Linked DNA regions of Pelodiscus sinensis. The protein of the gene in region 2 interacts with the protein of the main gene of each other region in a pairwise test. Links are inferred from orthologs where the notes say so. Each region holds a gene or a part of one and is shown on either strand. Other genes may lie near its edges.

Region 1 (7,235 bases), on a different chromosome or scaffold from region 2:
TCTCCTCTCCATCTCCCCTGTTGTGCTCCTCGCATGCTGCCCTTACAGCTCCCAGGGGCGCTGGTTTCTGTGGTTCCACTTGCTCCCCTCTGTGCGGCTCCAGTTCCCCATCAAGCGGCTCCGGCTCCCCATCGGGCTCCAGGCTATGCTGTCCCAGCTCTGCTACAGATCCCTGAGCATCATCCCCAATATCCGTGCCCTCCTGTGGCACTGGGATCAGAGGGGGCGGCAGGATGCATAGGTCACAGGCCTCCAGTGGTCTCTTTATCTCCCCATCCTAGAGGAAGGAAGCAGCATAGTGAAGGAGGAGCGGGGGTTTGGGATGCTAGACTGGTCATGAGGTCAGGGATGGGGTATTGGTCTTGTGCTGCTCCACTGGCAGCAGTCAGGAATGCTCCCACACACACGGCAGGGAGGAAGGCCACACATGGGGGAAGTGACCTGCCCAGGACCACACAGCAGGTCAGTGGCAGAACCGGGAAGGGAACCCAGATGTCCAGATACCAGCCAGCCCCCCTCACTTACTGTAACCCACCAGGTCCTGCATCCCTCCCAGAGCTGAGGGAAGAACCCAGGACTCCCAGCTCCCACTATTCTAACCCATTTAGTCCTGACTGTCACCTTTCAGAGGAGTCTCTGCTGTATGCTGGGGAGGTGAGGATCTCCTCAGCCCAAGCTTTTCAAGGGGTATGTAGAGCAACTGAGTGGGCCTGATGATGCTACCATGTGTGTGAGCAGCCTGATGCATCAGCAGTGGCCCCAGAGCACCTAGGGCCCTCTCAGCCCACCCAGCCCAGCCCTACTCACATACCCTGAAGAACTCCTTGAGTTGGGGGCTGTTGTTCAGTGCAGGGATGTGCACCGTGAATCTCAGCATGGCCTCAGCTGCTTTCCTGCGCTCCTCGATCACCTCGGGCTCAAAGCGGCCTGCGGGACAGAGCTCCTGTTGCACTGTGATGCAGCACCCATCTAGCCTCTCCAGGCAGACCAGCCACTCCCCCTCTAGCCCTATGGTACATTTCAGTTCTGCCACCCTTAAGCCTGGACATCCCACCACAATTCACTTCATGTGGTATGATCCACTATGCATCCCTTGTCCTGTGAATCTGGTGTGAGCCCCCTGCAGCATGTCCAGCAATGACTGCCTTTCCCCTGTGGGGACATCAGCTCTAATCTGTCCCCAGGGCAGGGGATTGGTTCCAGGTGGCAGGAAATGAGATATGGGACCTTTCCCAGCTCTGATCCAGTCCGAGATCCCAATAAATTAGACTCATTCCCATCTGCAGCTCATTTGGTGACCTGGGTGTGAAGCGTCTTGAAGGGTGGGTCTAACTGCCCCACACCAGCAGTCTCTGGGGGTGGGTTGGGGACTCAGACTGCTGTGTCTGGGTCAGGGGGAGGGGATGGCATCTGGGTATGTGGTAGGGGCAGTAAGAGAGTGCTGAGTCTGTGTGGGGACCTATGGGAAGTTGCAGGGTGCTGGGGGCATGAAAGGGAGCTGTTGGGGAAAGGGAAGAAGGGGACTGTGCAGAAGGCGCTGGATGTGTGGGTAGACATTATGGGATGCTGTGGAGCACTGTGAAGCAGAAAAGGCTATGCGGTAGGGGGGCTGTACTGTGGGGACGAGGGAGCTGACCATGGGGGAGGAATGAGGGAAGCGCTCTCTGCCACTGCTCCTGCTCTGGGAGTAACCAGAAGAGTCTGGCTGTTGAGCCCCCACCTCTCGGGAAGCCACTTACCGAAGACCTGGGCTTTGGGGAAGGCAGGGAACTCCTCCATGCGCCGGAAGAGATTGCGGTGGATGTAGGACAAGTCTCCATGCAGCTTCTTGAAGTCACTGTAACGTTTCCAGATTGTGATCTGAAGGACAAGAGCCCCCCAGGTGCCCCAGTTAACTAGCCACAGACATGCGCTGAGCCCACAGCTTCTACAGTCCCAGGGACCCTCCGCTTTTCCCCCAAACTGCAACCCTTCAGCTCAAACCTCCAAATCCAAATCTATGGACCCAGCTCCTTCCAGATAGAACTTCTACTTCAAACTCCTGGATTTCTGCCTTCCAAAGCCCCTGGAATTTCACCCCCAGATTTCAGTCACACGATCCCTGCCCCCACAACCTTTGCCATAGGACTCAAAGCCCCAAAACTGTCCCCAAAACTCAGCTCTATCAGACCTCAAGTTATGGGACTTTTCCCATCACTGCTGGGCAGCTGTGAGTGTGGGCTAGCCGGTAGTGGGGACCCCCCCCCCCCACACTCTACACTGAGGGATGGCTATGGATTTCATCCCACCCCTTCTTCGCACCCCTCCCCTGCACGAGCCATCAGACGGGTTTAAAACAGTCACCTCCTTGACATCTTCTGGTTTCGTCTTTGAAACAAACTAAGGAGGGAAGAGAGGAGGAGTCAGCAACTTCTGAGCCGGGAGGTGGCAGTGGGGAGGTTCAGGGCAAAGGAAGGGACCAGCAGGGCATGGGGCTATCAGGCTAGGAGGCGGGAAATGTGATGTCCACAGCGCGTGGGATGGGGAGGCAGGACACCCACCGGGGCCAGCCACGGGCGTGGGGGGCATTTAACGGGACGTGCCTTTGACCTGGGACATCCACGTGCCTCGGCACCGTCCCACGTGGGTTTCCCGGGACCCAGGGCTCCCCCTGCAGGACGCTTCCGTCTTAAAAGGGCCACACCTACGACGCCCCAAAACGGAGCCTCGGAGGGGACCACTCGCAACTTCCCACCTCTTAAAGCGGCTACGCAGTGTCCCTCACCCTGGAAAGTATCGGGAACAAGTCCCACCCCGCCTGCACGCGCCGTGCGCCCTCCTTAAGGTGGGCGAGCGAGGCGCCCTCCTTCCATGGGGCATCGGCAGCCCCAGCTGCCCAGGAGGGGCCCTTCACCTTAAAGGGGCCGCGCACAGCTCCCTGGGGAAGGTCCCAGGCGCTGCCCCTCACCTTGGCTGTCACTTTGTACTCAGTGTGGCCCTTGGGGTGGCTCCTCGGCTCCGTGACCGTGTAATAACGCTGGTACTCATCCTTCACCCTGCAGGCCATCTCCCTCCGCACACTGAGGCTGCGGCCCCTTTAAATCTTGAGCCCGCCCCTCTCCAGCCCCTAACAGCCCCAAGCAGCAGTGACCGCCGCCAGGGAGCGTGGGTTTGCCGAACAGCCAGTACGCATGCGTGGCCGGGCCTCCTTGCCCTGTCCCAGCCCAGGGAGCGTGTGTAAAGTACAAAACTGCAGGCGAGCTGAAGAGTGAAGGGCTCCTCTGGAGAGTGAGCCCTTCTTAGAGGCAGGGTAAGCAAGGAGTCAAGCCCAGGTGTACAGGGAGGAAGACTGGAGGGCCAAAGGGTAATTGGGCGGAGGTGAGGTAAAGGGAGCAGGTTACAACTGTGGCTCTCAATCAGTCAAGTCAACCAGTGTTATGCATACCCCTGGGATACACACAGGACTTACAGCGAATACATCAACTCATCTGAATATCTGACAACTTTTACAAGAGGCAGCAGGAAAAACACTAGCTAAGTCAGTACAAGCTAAAATGTCATAAAGCTTGTTTATGCTGCTCTGTATGCTTCACACTGAAATGCAAGTACAGTATTTATAGTCCAGTGGATTTATTTTATGATTATATGGTAAAAATGAAAAGCAAGAAGTTTTTCAGTAATAAATGCAAATGCTGGGACATTTCTGTATTTTATGCCTGATAAAAGATTTACTCAGCGTTGCTTGGGTCCTTAACTCAAATAAGTTTTGTTTTTCTTCTTTTAAATCATTGTTCTGGGGTGGGGCTGGGGATGAGGAATTCAGTATGCAGGCTGCCCTGAGGAGAGTAGACAACCCCAGACCACTCTTACCGTAGCGGTTTGGGGCCAGGTGAGATGCACCTGTCCATGGCTGCTGCAGCTGTAGTGGGCACAGCCATGGTGTGGTGGTGTGCATATCTCCCAGCTGGGGAACAGACAAACACTAAAATATATAAAAGGTGACCCTTTCTCCATCCTTGCTATCTGCTGGCCCAATGCAGTTATAGCTCTCCTAGTCTCCACCTCTGCCCCCCGTCCCCCGTAGTCATTTTGCATTATAACTCCCTCCTGCCAAACCCCACCCTTTCCATTTTATGAGAAAATCAAATCCATGCACACCCCATTATCCTGGCTCAACCCAACCCTGACCTTGCTTTAAGTTATGATAAGAGGAAGCTGCATACCAAATCTGGTGGTTCTAGCGCTTACTGTTCAGGAGGAGGTCTTGAACAAACGGATAGACATTACTAAAATATCTAGTAAGATTTTGTAAGTAAGTAGTTTAAGTGAGTTTAAACTTGGGGTAACAAGACAAATCAGATGTCTGCAAGGGGTCACAAGAGGCTATATGACAACGGAGAAAAATAGAGAATGGGGAGACTGTGCCACCCTTTTACTGCTGATGCACTTCACAAGCAGGCAATAAGGTTTGAAATCCAGATGCTTCCCACAGCCTCAATCTGCATTTCCTGTTCTGACCCCAGGCAGGTGCTCCAGCCCACGCAGGTTGGCACTGAGGGATATCTTAAAGCTGAGGTTCTGCCATCTTTGTATGGACAAAACTGACCAGAGGCCATATTTGCGGCATCCCAAAAGTTCCCACTGCCTCGGGGATCTTGGTCAAAATAGCACCTCTCATGGCTCTGCTATCCCTGCTCCACCCCAAAGGTGCTATGCCAGAAGGAGGCGGGGGGGGGGGGGGGGGGAGGCGGGTACAGAGTTTGCAAAGCAAAAGGAGATTATATGCACTGGAAAGAGGTGAATTATTAAACTATCTCAATCATTAAAATGTGCTGCCTCTGGGGTGGGGTACAAGTGCTGCTACTACAGGGATCCCTCATATAGTGCTGAGATGTAGCTGCCTGTGGTAGGGAGCAGGGGCTGTTTATTCAGTGCTCCTTTGGTTGGCTCTGAGATGCAGACACCAGAGACTGGGACAGAGGTGGCTGTTTAATAGCTCCTAGTAACAGTTAAGAACAGGAAGTGAATCTTTCATTGCTTAAAACAACAGAGAATTCAGGATAGAGTGGGAGGATAAGGGAGAGCCTTGCAGACCCTTTCCCCAACCTCGAGTACTTCTGCCCCCATCAGCAACTAGGCTGAGGCTGCAACTCGTCTGTGAGAAACAGATGCAGTTGCTGGACATGTGGAGCAATCCCTAAAAGAAGTTCATCTCTCCGAGGAACCTGGTGACATAAGCCAAAAGTGCAAGGCAACCCACACAGAGTCAATGAACCCAGACACAGCAGACTACAGGCCACTGATTTTATTAGCGCGAGAAATGAAAAATGTGAATATTTCGTACAGGCAGGGTTATTTGGGGAGAGTTGGGAGGGGGAGGGGGGGAAGAGGAATTCCTTTCTGCCAGTCCTATCCGTGTACACAGTTCAACAGGCCTTGTGCTTCAATGATGGGGAATTGCCACCACTCCCCACACTGTAAACGATCTGGCTCCTGAGGTTCCCCAGCTTGCCCCATCATTTAGGGCAATTGCCAGCATTAGAGCTCAAACCCTGAAACACATGTGGAAGACCCAGGCCTTTGGGTCAGGGGTACTAAGCTCTGTGCCAATCCAGGGGACATTTGGGATCCAGACTTAGTCCAAGGGGAGTTGCTGTCCCGGTGACTGACTGCTGGAGGAAAGCATGATGGGAGCTGTTCAAAGCTTGGATCCAGCCCTCAAGGAGGAGGGGGGCCATGTCTGAGGCATGATCAGTCTGCCGTGAAGATCCGGCTGGAAATATCATCCAAGAGCCAGTCGATCCCCGTCAGCAGGTTTTCCCCAGTGAAGGCACTGCAGGCCTGGATGCACCAATGGTGGCTTTTGATGCTGTCTAGTTCCAAGGCCTGAAGGGAAGACAAGATGATACTGAGTTACCTGACTGAGCTGAGACCAAACCTGTCCTCAGTCCACATCTCCCAACACTAGCACACACCCCACCCCTACTCCCTCCCTTACTTGCAACCTGGTACAACTGTGGCACAGAGAGAAGAAAGATCATACAGTGAGTCAATGATCAACTGGAGACAAACCAGGAGCTGAGGCTGCCACTCATCTGGCGTAACTCTTCTACTCCATTCCCCTTCCAGAGCTGGGAAGAGAAGAGCTGACTCCAGTCCCTCCCCACCCTACCCTACAACCAACAAACCCCACTCCCAGTGGTGCTGGAACACATTTTTTTGGGGGGGAGGGGAGAGGGAGCAGGGGTGCTGAGCAGTGCCCTCACTCTTATCCGTCCATGCCCCTCACTGACCCAGGCTGGGGCCCCTGGGCACAGGACTGGTGCCCTGACATGGGGACAGCAGTGGGGACACTAGGCCCAAAACCCTGTACCTATGTCCATGTCCCTTGACCAAGATCCCTAGTTTGCTTCAGGCCAGTGGCTCTTACCTCACGAATGGCATTGGAAGACAGTGCTCCTGGCAGGTCCTGCTTGTTGGCGAAGATGAGCAAGGTGGCTCCAGCCAGGCGCTGTAGGGAGAGAAGCACAGGCTAAGCTGCATGGCCCAGTTGTCTTGGCCCCACCATTCTCCTGTTAACCCTTCAACCACCCTCCCAGTCAGTTAGCAGTTGGACCACAGTTCTCCTGCTCTGTCCCAGACAGGGATTGTTTTTGAGTCTTGAAAGACCTGGAAACAGGGGGACAAGGATCCTCTCTGCAGCAGAGGCAGGCCCTGCTTCCAGCAGACCTGCACCAAACCAGGCCCCTCTGGCAGCCCAAACCAAAGCCTGGTTCAGCCAGAAGCTGGCCCACCCACCCACAGGATAGTGCCCAAAAAATATACCCCCTCTCCAAGGGACTTCATATAACCTATTGCATATATTCCACCTCCTTTCCCTCACAGGATACATCTGCCCATTCTCCAAGACACTTGGCACACCCTCCTCCCCCTTTCCTCCACAGGTGCAGTTCCCACCTCTTCCACCAGGAGGCTCTGCAACTCCTGCTTGCAGACCTGCAGGCGCTGCTGGTCAGCACTGTCCACCACCCAGATGAGACCATCTGTGCTCTCAAAGTAGTTGCGCCAGTAGGAGCGCAGGGATGTCTGGCCTCCCACATCCCAGATGTTCAGTTTGAAGCTGGGGAACAGAAGAAAAAAGACAGAGTATGGAGGTAAAGGGACAATCAGGCAAGATCCCAGTATGTAATATGGAACAGGCATCCTGGACGAAGGAGGGGATGTTTCTTCTGTATCTGGCTGGCTGTGAGAAGACC
Region 2 (8,045 bases):
AAAGACAGAACTATGTAGCACTTTAACAAGATAGTTTATTAGATGATGAGCTTTCATGGGCCAGAAGTGGGTCTGGCCCACGAAAGCTCATCACCTAATAAACCATCTTGTTAGTCTTTAAAATGCTATATAGTTCTGACTTTTGTTCCTCCAGGATGAGTCTCTGATTTCAAGGCCAGAAAGGACTGTGACTGAGAGGAGAGTGCTGTCTAGTGATTAGAGCACCCCCAGCCATGTCACATTAGTTCTTGTGACCTGACATTTGGAGTGCCTGCGAGCTGGGAATTTGGATTCCTAGCATGAGCATCAGGGTTGATAAAAATCAACGATTTAAAAAAAAAATTCAGATAAAAAAAGAGATCAGTAAAATACTCCATTTCCCATTTAAAAACAGTTACAATTAAATCCCATCACAGAAATGCTACCCGGATGCTTAAAAAGTCTCTTAAAAATGAATGAATGGACCTAGCCTGTCCAGCCTAACCACCAGCTCCTGCTTCTTGAAAGTTCTGGGCTTTCCATTTCGGTTTCTCAGCAGACGACAAAGCGACATGTGCAAAGTCAGACGCATCCTGAACGGGCTTGTTTTTTGTGGCCACGCACAGCAGAGGAGTTAGTTAAGAGAGTCGCTTATAAAGACAGAATCGCAATATATAGAAAAGGACGGAGGCAGCCTAGAAGAGAACAGTGAACTGAAAAGAAAGAGAGAAGATGTTATTCAGAGCACACACACACTCACGCACAGCTTTCTATACCCTCCACACTGGTGCCACAGAAAAACCGTCCTGGTTTCTGGGCACAAGAGAGATTCTCTCTGGGAATAGTTTGAAGAAATTCATTCCCTGGGTAAAAAAGGAAAACGTGACGGATAAGCAGTCCATGCAGGATGATAATGCAGGGCCTACTTGCAAGAATGAAACAAAGAAAACTGCTTGCTGGGAAGAAAGCGATGTGGATCTGACTGAGTGGATCAACGGGTTAGTAACTTAAATAATTCACTTTGCAATGCATCGTTCATAGAATCCTAGGGCTGGAAGAGACCTCAGGTGGTCGAGTCCAGCCCCCTGCCCAAAGCAGGACCAATCCAATTGTTCTTCAAGAATCTCTCTCCCCCTTTTAAAGCGATTTGACTAGTAAATTCCCAAGCTGTTTGCTGTGTTGAGTGTTGCTAGAAAAAAAAAAGTTTAGCTTAGCTAATCCTTATGGCTTGTTGAATTAGTTAACTAGGTTTAGAATCTATCACCCAAGTATACAGCACAGAAAGCTGCAGTAAGAGAAATTTAGAGTTGCCTATTGACACGGAGTGTCATTTTTTGTTTTATATTACATAATATACTATTGTATGGTATATATAATACTGTATTCTACTGTATAATATCCCTTCTTTTGCAACCTCATGGCCACAGTCCATAATGGTGATGTCATAAATCTATTCTTTATTTTACTTCAGCATAACTCCGTTTTTTAAAGGGAACCCCATTCTATATTGTTCTTGTTTTTTTGAGAAAACAAGAAATGAAAGTTTGTTCAGTGGGGCCTCTTCCAAAATTAAGTGCCCTCTAAGCACAGTCTAGCTTAGCTTTGACGGTAACTGGCGATTATTTTTTTTGGGGGGGGGGGGTGATTTAAACTGTGATTAAAATCAAATTATTTAAATCGCCTCTATTTAAATCAATCCACCCTGATCAGCTGCAGTAAATGTTTAAAAACGGCCTGACAGAAGAGGGGAACGGGAGTCAGGGTGCCAGTTTCTGGTCCTGGTTCTGCCACAGGTTTCCTGCCAGTGGGCATATTATTCACTACTAGATCGCTCTGCACTTCCATTCCACCAGGCAGAGATACTGGTCGATCCCGGAGAGGCCTGGGGCAAATCCTGAACTTTCTACCGAGTTGCTAGCATCCGTCAGAAAAGCACAAAACGTGTAGGTGGAAGCACCGAGGCAGCTCAGCCCAAACAGCTACATTAGCAATGTTGTGCTGTTACCAGGTGCACACACAGGGTCTGTAAGCGCTGCTGGCCTGGATCAGACCCAAGGACCATCCATCCAGGACTAGTTGCTTCAGAGGAAGGAGCAAGAAACCCCACAGGAGGCAGAAGTGAGAGACAACCTCCCCCCATTCCCTAACAAAGTTTGGATTGAACTCTAAGCAGGACACACACTGACAACGTCCATGATCCCCTTAAATACTTGTCTGAAAAGGGGTCACCATCCTCCAGCCAAGCATCTGCCCCCTGTGCTCCAGGGCACATATCCCCACACCCAGAAGCAGTAAGGTGCGGCAGAACAGGCCACACCTGGGCAGAGACCAGGAGAAGTGGGGGGGAGGGGGCGTTCAGCCCAAGGCAAGAGACTTTTCCTTTTTGAGGGTTCCACCATCCAGGGCTTCCCCTGAAACAAACTCAGCCAAGCCGAGGTCTTTTATGGGACAGATCTGGAGGCACCTGCTGGGAAAGGTCACCTCAAAGTACTGCTCCCCAGGGTTTGGGGGAAGGGGCTGCAAGGGAGGGGTGCATTAGGAAGGGAATCCCAGCGGGAAGGGGGTTGAAATGGGGGGGGGTCAAGGAGGGGTGCATTAGGAAGGGAATCCCAGCGGGAAGGGGGTTGAAATGGGGGGGGGGTCAAGGAGGGGTGCATTAGGAAGGGAATCCCAGAGGGAAGGGGGTTGAAATGAGGCAGGGGGGAGGGGTCAAGGAGGGGAACATTAGGAAGGGAATCCCAGAGGGAAGGGGGTTGAAATGGGGGGGGTCAAGGAGGGGTGCATTAGGAAGGGAATCCCAGCAGAAGGGGGTTGAAATGGGGGGGTCAAGGAGGGGTGCATTAGGAAGGGAATCCCAGGGGAAGGGGGGCCCTTGGAGAAAGGGAAGGGGGTGTTGTGAGCAAGGGGGGTAGCTGTGCTGAGTCCCCTCGGAAAGAGGGGAGCCCCCCGGGACTAGGGGACTCAGGGAAAAGGGGGGGGGCTGCCGGATAAAGTGCCCTCCCCGGGGAAGGAAGCAGCCCGGCTCTGCAGGAAGGGGGTGTCCTTGGGGCCGCCCCAGGGCTCCCACCTGTGGCTAGGTAGTAGCGCTGGACGCCGGTCTGGGTTTCCAGCCAGCCCAGCAGGTCGGCGAGCAGGCCGGGCTGGTGCAGGAAGGTCTGGAAGCGCTGCCGCAGGGAGCCCATGGCTGCACGCTCCGGCTCCGGCCGCCGGCTGCTGCTGCTCGCTCTCGGCTTAGCGGCCGGTCCGCCCCCCGCGCCGGGCCAATGCGGGAGCGGGGCGCGGCCAGGTGGGAGCCGGGCGGGCACGTCACAGGGGACAGGTGAGGGCAGGCGTGGTCAGAGCAGGGGAGGGGCAGCGGGGGCAAGGGGCAGGCGGGGGGGGGGATCAGAGGCAAAGGGAGAGGGAGAGGGAGAGGGAGGGGGAGGGGCAGGAGGGGGGGGAAGAGCGGAGTTGAGCAAAGCAAAGGGAGGGGGCAGGGGCAGGAGGGGGAGGAGATGGGGCAGGAGGGGGGAAGGGAAGAGCGGAGCAAAGCAAAGGGAGGGGCAGGGGCAAGAGGGGGGAGATGGTTTGGGGGCAGAAGAAAAGAAGGGGAAGGGGGAATCAGAGGCAAAGGGAGGGGCAGGGGCAAGAGGGGGGAGGAGAGGGGGCAGAGGAGAGGGCCCCGAGCTGGCGGGAACGAAGGCAAACAAGCAGAGGGAAGAGCCGAACAAAGGGGCTGGGGTGCACACACTGATTTACACTGTAAGCTCCTAGGGGCAGGGACTGGCTTTTAGTTGTGCATTTATACAGCACCTTGCACAGCGGGGCCTGAGCAATAACTGGAGAGCCCCAGGTGCTACCTGGATTCAATTAAATAATACACATTTACACAATGGCTGCTGCAAAAGGAAAAGCTCCAGCCAGGCACGCACCAGCCCAGGGCAGGAGGAAACACTCACACGCGCCTGGAGCTTTAAAAAAAAAACTACAACTCCCAGAAGGCCGTCTAGCCAAGGAACACCCCTCCCTACTCGCAAAGCCCCCTGGGAGTTGTAGTTTGTTGGTGAGCCGACGGGGTCGTTCCCCGGCTCCTGCGGCTTGCGGTTGCTATGGCGACCCCGGGGTGTGAACACGTGGCGCGGGGCAGCCCCAGCAGCCCTGCCCGTGCCCGGGAAAGAGGCAAAATCGAGGCCCCGGCTTCAGGCGGAGCGCTAGGCCGCAGATCCCGGGCGGGGGGGTATTTAAGGGCCCCTTTTAGGGGGCAGCCCCACGTTTGCTCCCCCCCCCCGGTCGGAGCCATGGCGGGGGCGGCGGCCTGGCTCCGGCTCTCGCTGCTGCTGGCCGGTGCCTCCTGCTGCCGGGGCGGGCTCACCGTCTACCTGAGCAGCTGGGCGGTGCAGGTGCCCGCGGGGGCCCGGGAGGCCGAGCGCCTGGCCCGCAAGCACGGGCTGCTCTGCCTGGGGCAGGTGAGGGCGGGGGGGCTACTTGCCCGGGGCGGGGGGTAGTTGGGAGGAGTGTGGGGGGGCAGTCTGCAAGTCCCCCCCCCCAGCCCCAGCAGCTGGAGAGGGAGCAGCCCTTTTCTCCCCACTATTCCAGGCTCCTGTGTCCCCCCCCAGCACCCCCTTTCCTAGAGAGGCTGCCCCCCAAATCTCCCCCCCCCCGCCTTCCCCCTGAATTCCTCTTCCACAGGCCCTCCCCAAGAAATGGGGGGGGGGTGGAAGAGAAAGAAGGGTGTTTATAAGAGCGGGGGCTTGCAGAGGGATGCACCCCCGTCCCCCGAAAAACACCCCGATGAGGGATGCACCCCCGTCCCCCGAAAAACACCCCGACGTTTGTTCCCCTGATGGAAAATCTGCTGGAGAGAGCCAGGGAGCTGCCTGATGAAAGGCTGCCCTGCTGCAGACGTCTGAGCTCTCTGGCTGGCCATTCCAGTTGACTATACCAGCCGTGAAATTACAGTGCAGGCCACAGGACTAAGTAGGAGGCTTCCAGCCACCCCTGCATTGGTGCCATTTGATGTGGCAATCTTTTCCTCCTGCCTAGCTTGTCTCTTCTGTATCCATTTTCCTTCCCTCCCTCTCCGTTTTCTCTCTCACGTCTGTATCTGAGGCGCTTTTATCCGGATCTATTTTTATTTTAGATGAGGGCATACTAGCATCATTACCAATTCCCCCTCATGCGGTAGCTCCAGCTAAAAGCATACAGCTTTGACAACCGAGGCAAATGCATCTTTAAAGAGAAGCTCTAGACAGCAAGGTTGTTTAAAATACCACGGACGTTGAGCGTGTTCTCTGCCACCGGGGGATTTGCAGTGAGTGGCAATTGAAGAGGGAAAACAAGTTTGATTGGCTCCATAATTAAGTTTTGGTTTAAAAAAAGAGGTGCTTTTACCAAAAAAATCCAAGACTAATGAAAACATGTCCCTGAAACTTTTAATCATGTAATAATAACGGAATTCTTGCTTTTTCAAACACTGCAGTCCATGGCCGTCTTCACTGGTCCCTGGTCTCTCTGGATGCATTCTCTGCACCTTTTTATTTAGATTTAAGTGTTTTAGTCCCTAGATTGAGATTTGGGGCCCTGTTGTGCTAGGTGCTGTACAAACATCTAGTAAATGACAGCTACTGTCCTGAAAAGCATGCAGTTACATGAGCTAACACGAAGCCAGCTGCCAGTGGACAGGTACCTGAAAGAAAGCTTTATCTCTTGTTAGTTCTAAATGTCCCACAGCCACCATCCTCTGGCCACGGGCTGTCAACCAAGAGATCCAATTCACCTTCTCTGTCTGTATAACCCATTTTAGGCTTTGAAAACCAGCAGTTTGGTTACAAATGGCCTCCCCTCCCCACCTTGTCGTTCAACCTTCGGTTGTACCAAAACAAGCTCCACCTTGATTTGCCGACACTTTAGCCATCCTCCACGGAGCTTTTTTTGATCACACAATGGCTTGCCCTCTTCATAAAACCCTAGGCAGGAGGCATGCTGGTGCTAGATGTCCCACCAATTCAATGTCACCTTATTCTGACTTCTTTCCAAATCCCATTCTCCTCTTTTGCCCCTTCTTTTTGATTCCTCTCAAGTCACTCTCTGAATTCACTCTAGGATTTCTAACTGTCCTTTATACAGTACTAGGTGTTCTACATTGCGCTATTTCAGAAGACCCTGCGATCACTCCCTTCTTTCCATTCGCCTTGAGTCTGGATAGTTGAACATCGGTTTGCCCCCTTCCTTGTTTTGTTTTTGTTTTTTTTCTCCACAGTATGACTGTGACCAGGTAATATTTCAGTCACCCACCTAACCATTATCCATGTAATGCTTTGCTAAGTAACAACCATTTGCTGTTACTATTGTGTAGGCCTGTCTTCAGGGTAACTTAGTTGCATGGATAATCTAGTTTTGAGCTGAAACTTGCCACAAAACCTTTTAATCTCTTAAACAGAGAATCTGGGCTTGTAATCTGACGTTACAAGGATTGCCCCTTTATCAGCTCTACCTCTGTACCTTTTCCTAGCTTTCTGCTGCAGCAGCCAAATGGCCTCATCAAATATTTAAAAGGCTGTGCAGATCCTTGTCTTGCTTTGTTCGCTTTAAAAGACAGCTTTTGCTAATTAGTTGTGAAACCAGCTCCCTACGGATGGTGTTTTCAGGGCCGGGAGCCTGTCCTTTGGGGAGAACAAAATTCCATTCTACACTCACCGTGGTTTCACGTAGTGCCCTGTGATTGAGTAAAATGGAAAATGGATGGACCCACCCCAGTGAGCTAGCGGTTGGCAGCTTGATCTCCATTAGCTCTCAATTACTCTGAAACAAATTCTAAAATCATACAGGCAAAGGTAGAAATGAAATTGCTAATGCAATGGGCCAGATAAAAAAATAAAGCCATGGTCCTTAACTCAATTAAGGGTGGTTTTTTTTTGTTAAAATACAAAGAAAATGCACATGTTTTATTTAAATGATTGTACTTTTAAAAATACAGTGTTTTATGGAGTTAATTCAGATTTCTTAAAAAAGGGATTAACATTTTTCCATTTAATTTTTAGTATATTTTTTTAAATGAGAATTGCATCAAGTGTATATTTTTTTCTTCACCCTGTAAATTCTTTATCCTTCACTATATTTTGACAAAAATGGACTAAGGTCCATTTGGTTTCCAGTAATGTTTTCTTCTAGTTTTCAAACCTTAAGCTCTGATTTAGCTGTGCCAAAACAGAGCACTCTGCCAGATTTCTCCATTTTATCTTTTGTCTGTCAGGTTGAGGGAGAAGCAATCTAATTCCAAGTTCCTCCTATTTTTCTCGTTCATCTTGGTTCAGCCTCTTTCAACATTTGCTTGGTTATATCAATTTTGATCTGGTGATTGTCTCTTTTCTGTTTGGTTTTATTAGAAGCAATCCCATTCCAGGTACAGCCCGTTTTCCTGGCACAGTCAAACCCTTACGTTGCTTTAAGTTATGATAAGAGGAAGCTGGATACCCAATTTGGTGGTCCTGGATCCTACCATTTCAGAGGCGTTCTTGATCAAACAGACTCTCTAAAATATATAGTAGAAAACAGAACAGAGTGCTTACAGGGAGGAAAAATTGAGCCTGTGTATGCAGATAATGCCAGATCCTGCGTTTTGTTATGCTGAATGGCATACGTGGTTAATTTTCCTGGTGGCTTCTGGTTGCCACCTGTGTCCAAGCCTTATGTGTAACTCTTCTTTCTGCAGATAATTGAAGGGGATCACTATTACCATTTCAAACACCGAGGCATGGTGCAGAAATCCCTGAACAGACACTGGGGCTGGCATGTGCATCTGAAAAGAGAGCCCAAGGTGACAAGTGTGATTTCTGAGGGAAGCACAAAAGAATTGCAGCTTGCTCGAAAATGTGCTTGTGGGATGTTAGGGCTAGCAGGAGCTATTTGTATGCACCTCGTTTGGCCGCCTGCATAGCACAGGCTATGTCTAAATACTGAGGATATCGTTGGCTCCCACAGTTATGTGTAAATACTGCTGATCAGGCACCCATTGAGTGGCATTGCTGTGCTATCAAACCAGCATGTTGTCTTGAATTCAGGGCCCCACCTACCCATCCCTGACATCT

Evidence for each region.
Region 1: the proteins of REEP6 (region 2) and SNX15 interact in binary tests that used the Homo sapiens proteins (3 or more experiments, as listed by UniProt). The two-hybrid records come from large-scale screens. The link is inferred for Pelodiscus sinensis from reciprocal best matches to the Homo sapiens genes REEP6 and SNX15.

Annotation. Positions count from the first base shown.
Region 1 is NC_134721.1:34,789,613-34,796,847, forward strand, and holds the start of SNX15 (sorting nexin-15), read right to left. Parts: upstream 3,128-7,235; 5' UTR 3,047-3,127; coding exon 2,948-3,046; intron 2,856-2,947; exon of another isoform or gene 2,735-2,855; intron 2,380-2,734; coding exon 2,344-2,379; intron 1,861-2,343; coding exon 1,740-1,860; intron 928-1,739; coding exon 812-927; intron 278-811; coding exon 1-277. Other genes in the region: ARL2 (ADP-ribosylation factor-like protein 2), read right to left, coding at 5,731-5,865, 6,410-6,490, 6,937-7,099. UniProt on the Homo sapiens protein: May be involved in several stages of intracellular trafficking. Overexpression of SNX15 disrupts the normal trafficking of proteins from the plasma membrane to recycling endosomes or the TGN.
Region 2 is NC_134729.1:17,444,600-17,452,644, forward strand, and holds the start of REEP6 (receptor expression-enhancing protein 6), read right to left. Parts: upstream 3,181-8,045; 5' UTR 3,162-3,180; coding exon 3,047-3,161; intron 1-3,046. Other genes in the region: PCSK4 (proprotein convertase subtilisin/kexin type 4), read left to right, coding at 4,068-4,424, 7,670-7,774. UniProt on the Homo sapiens protein: Required for correct function and survival of retinal photoreceptors. Required for retinal development.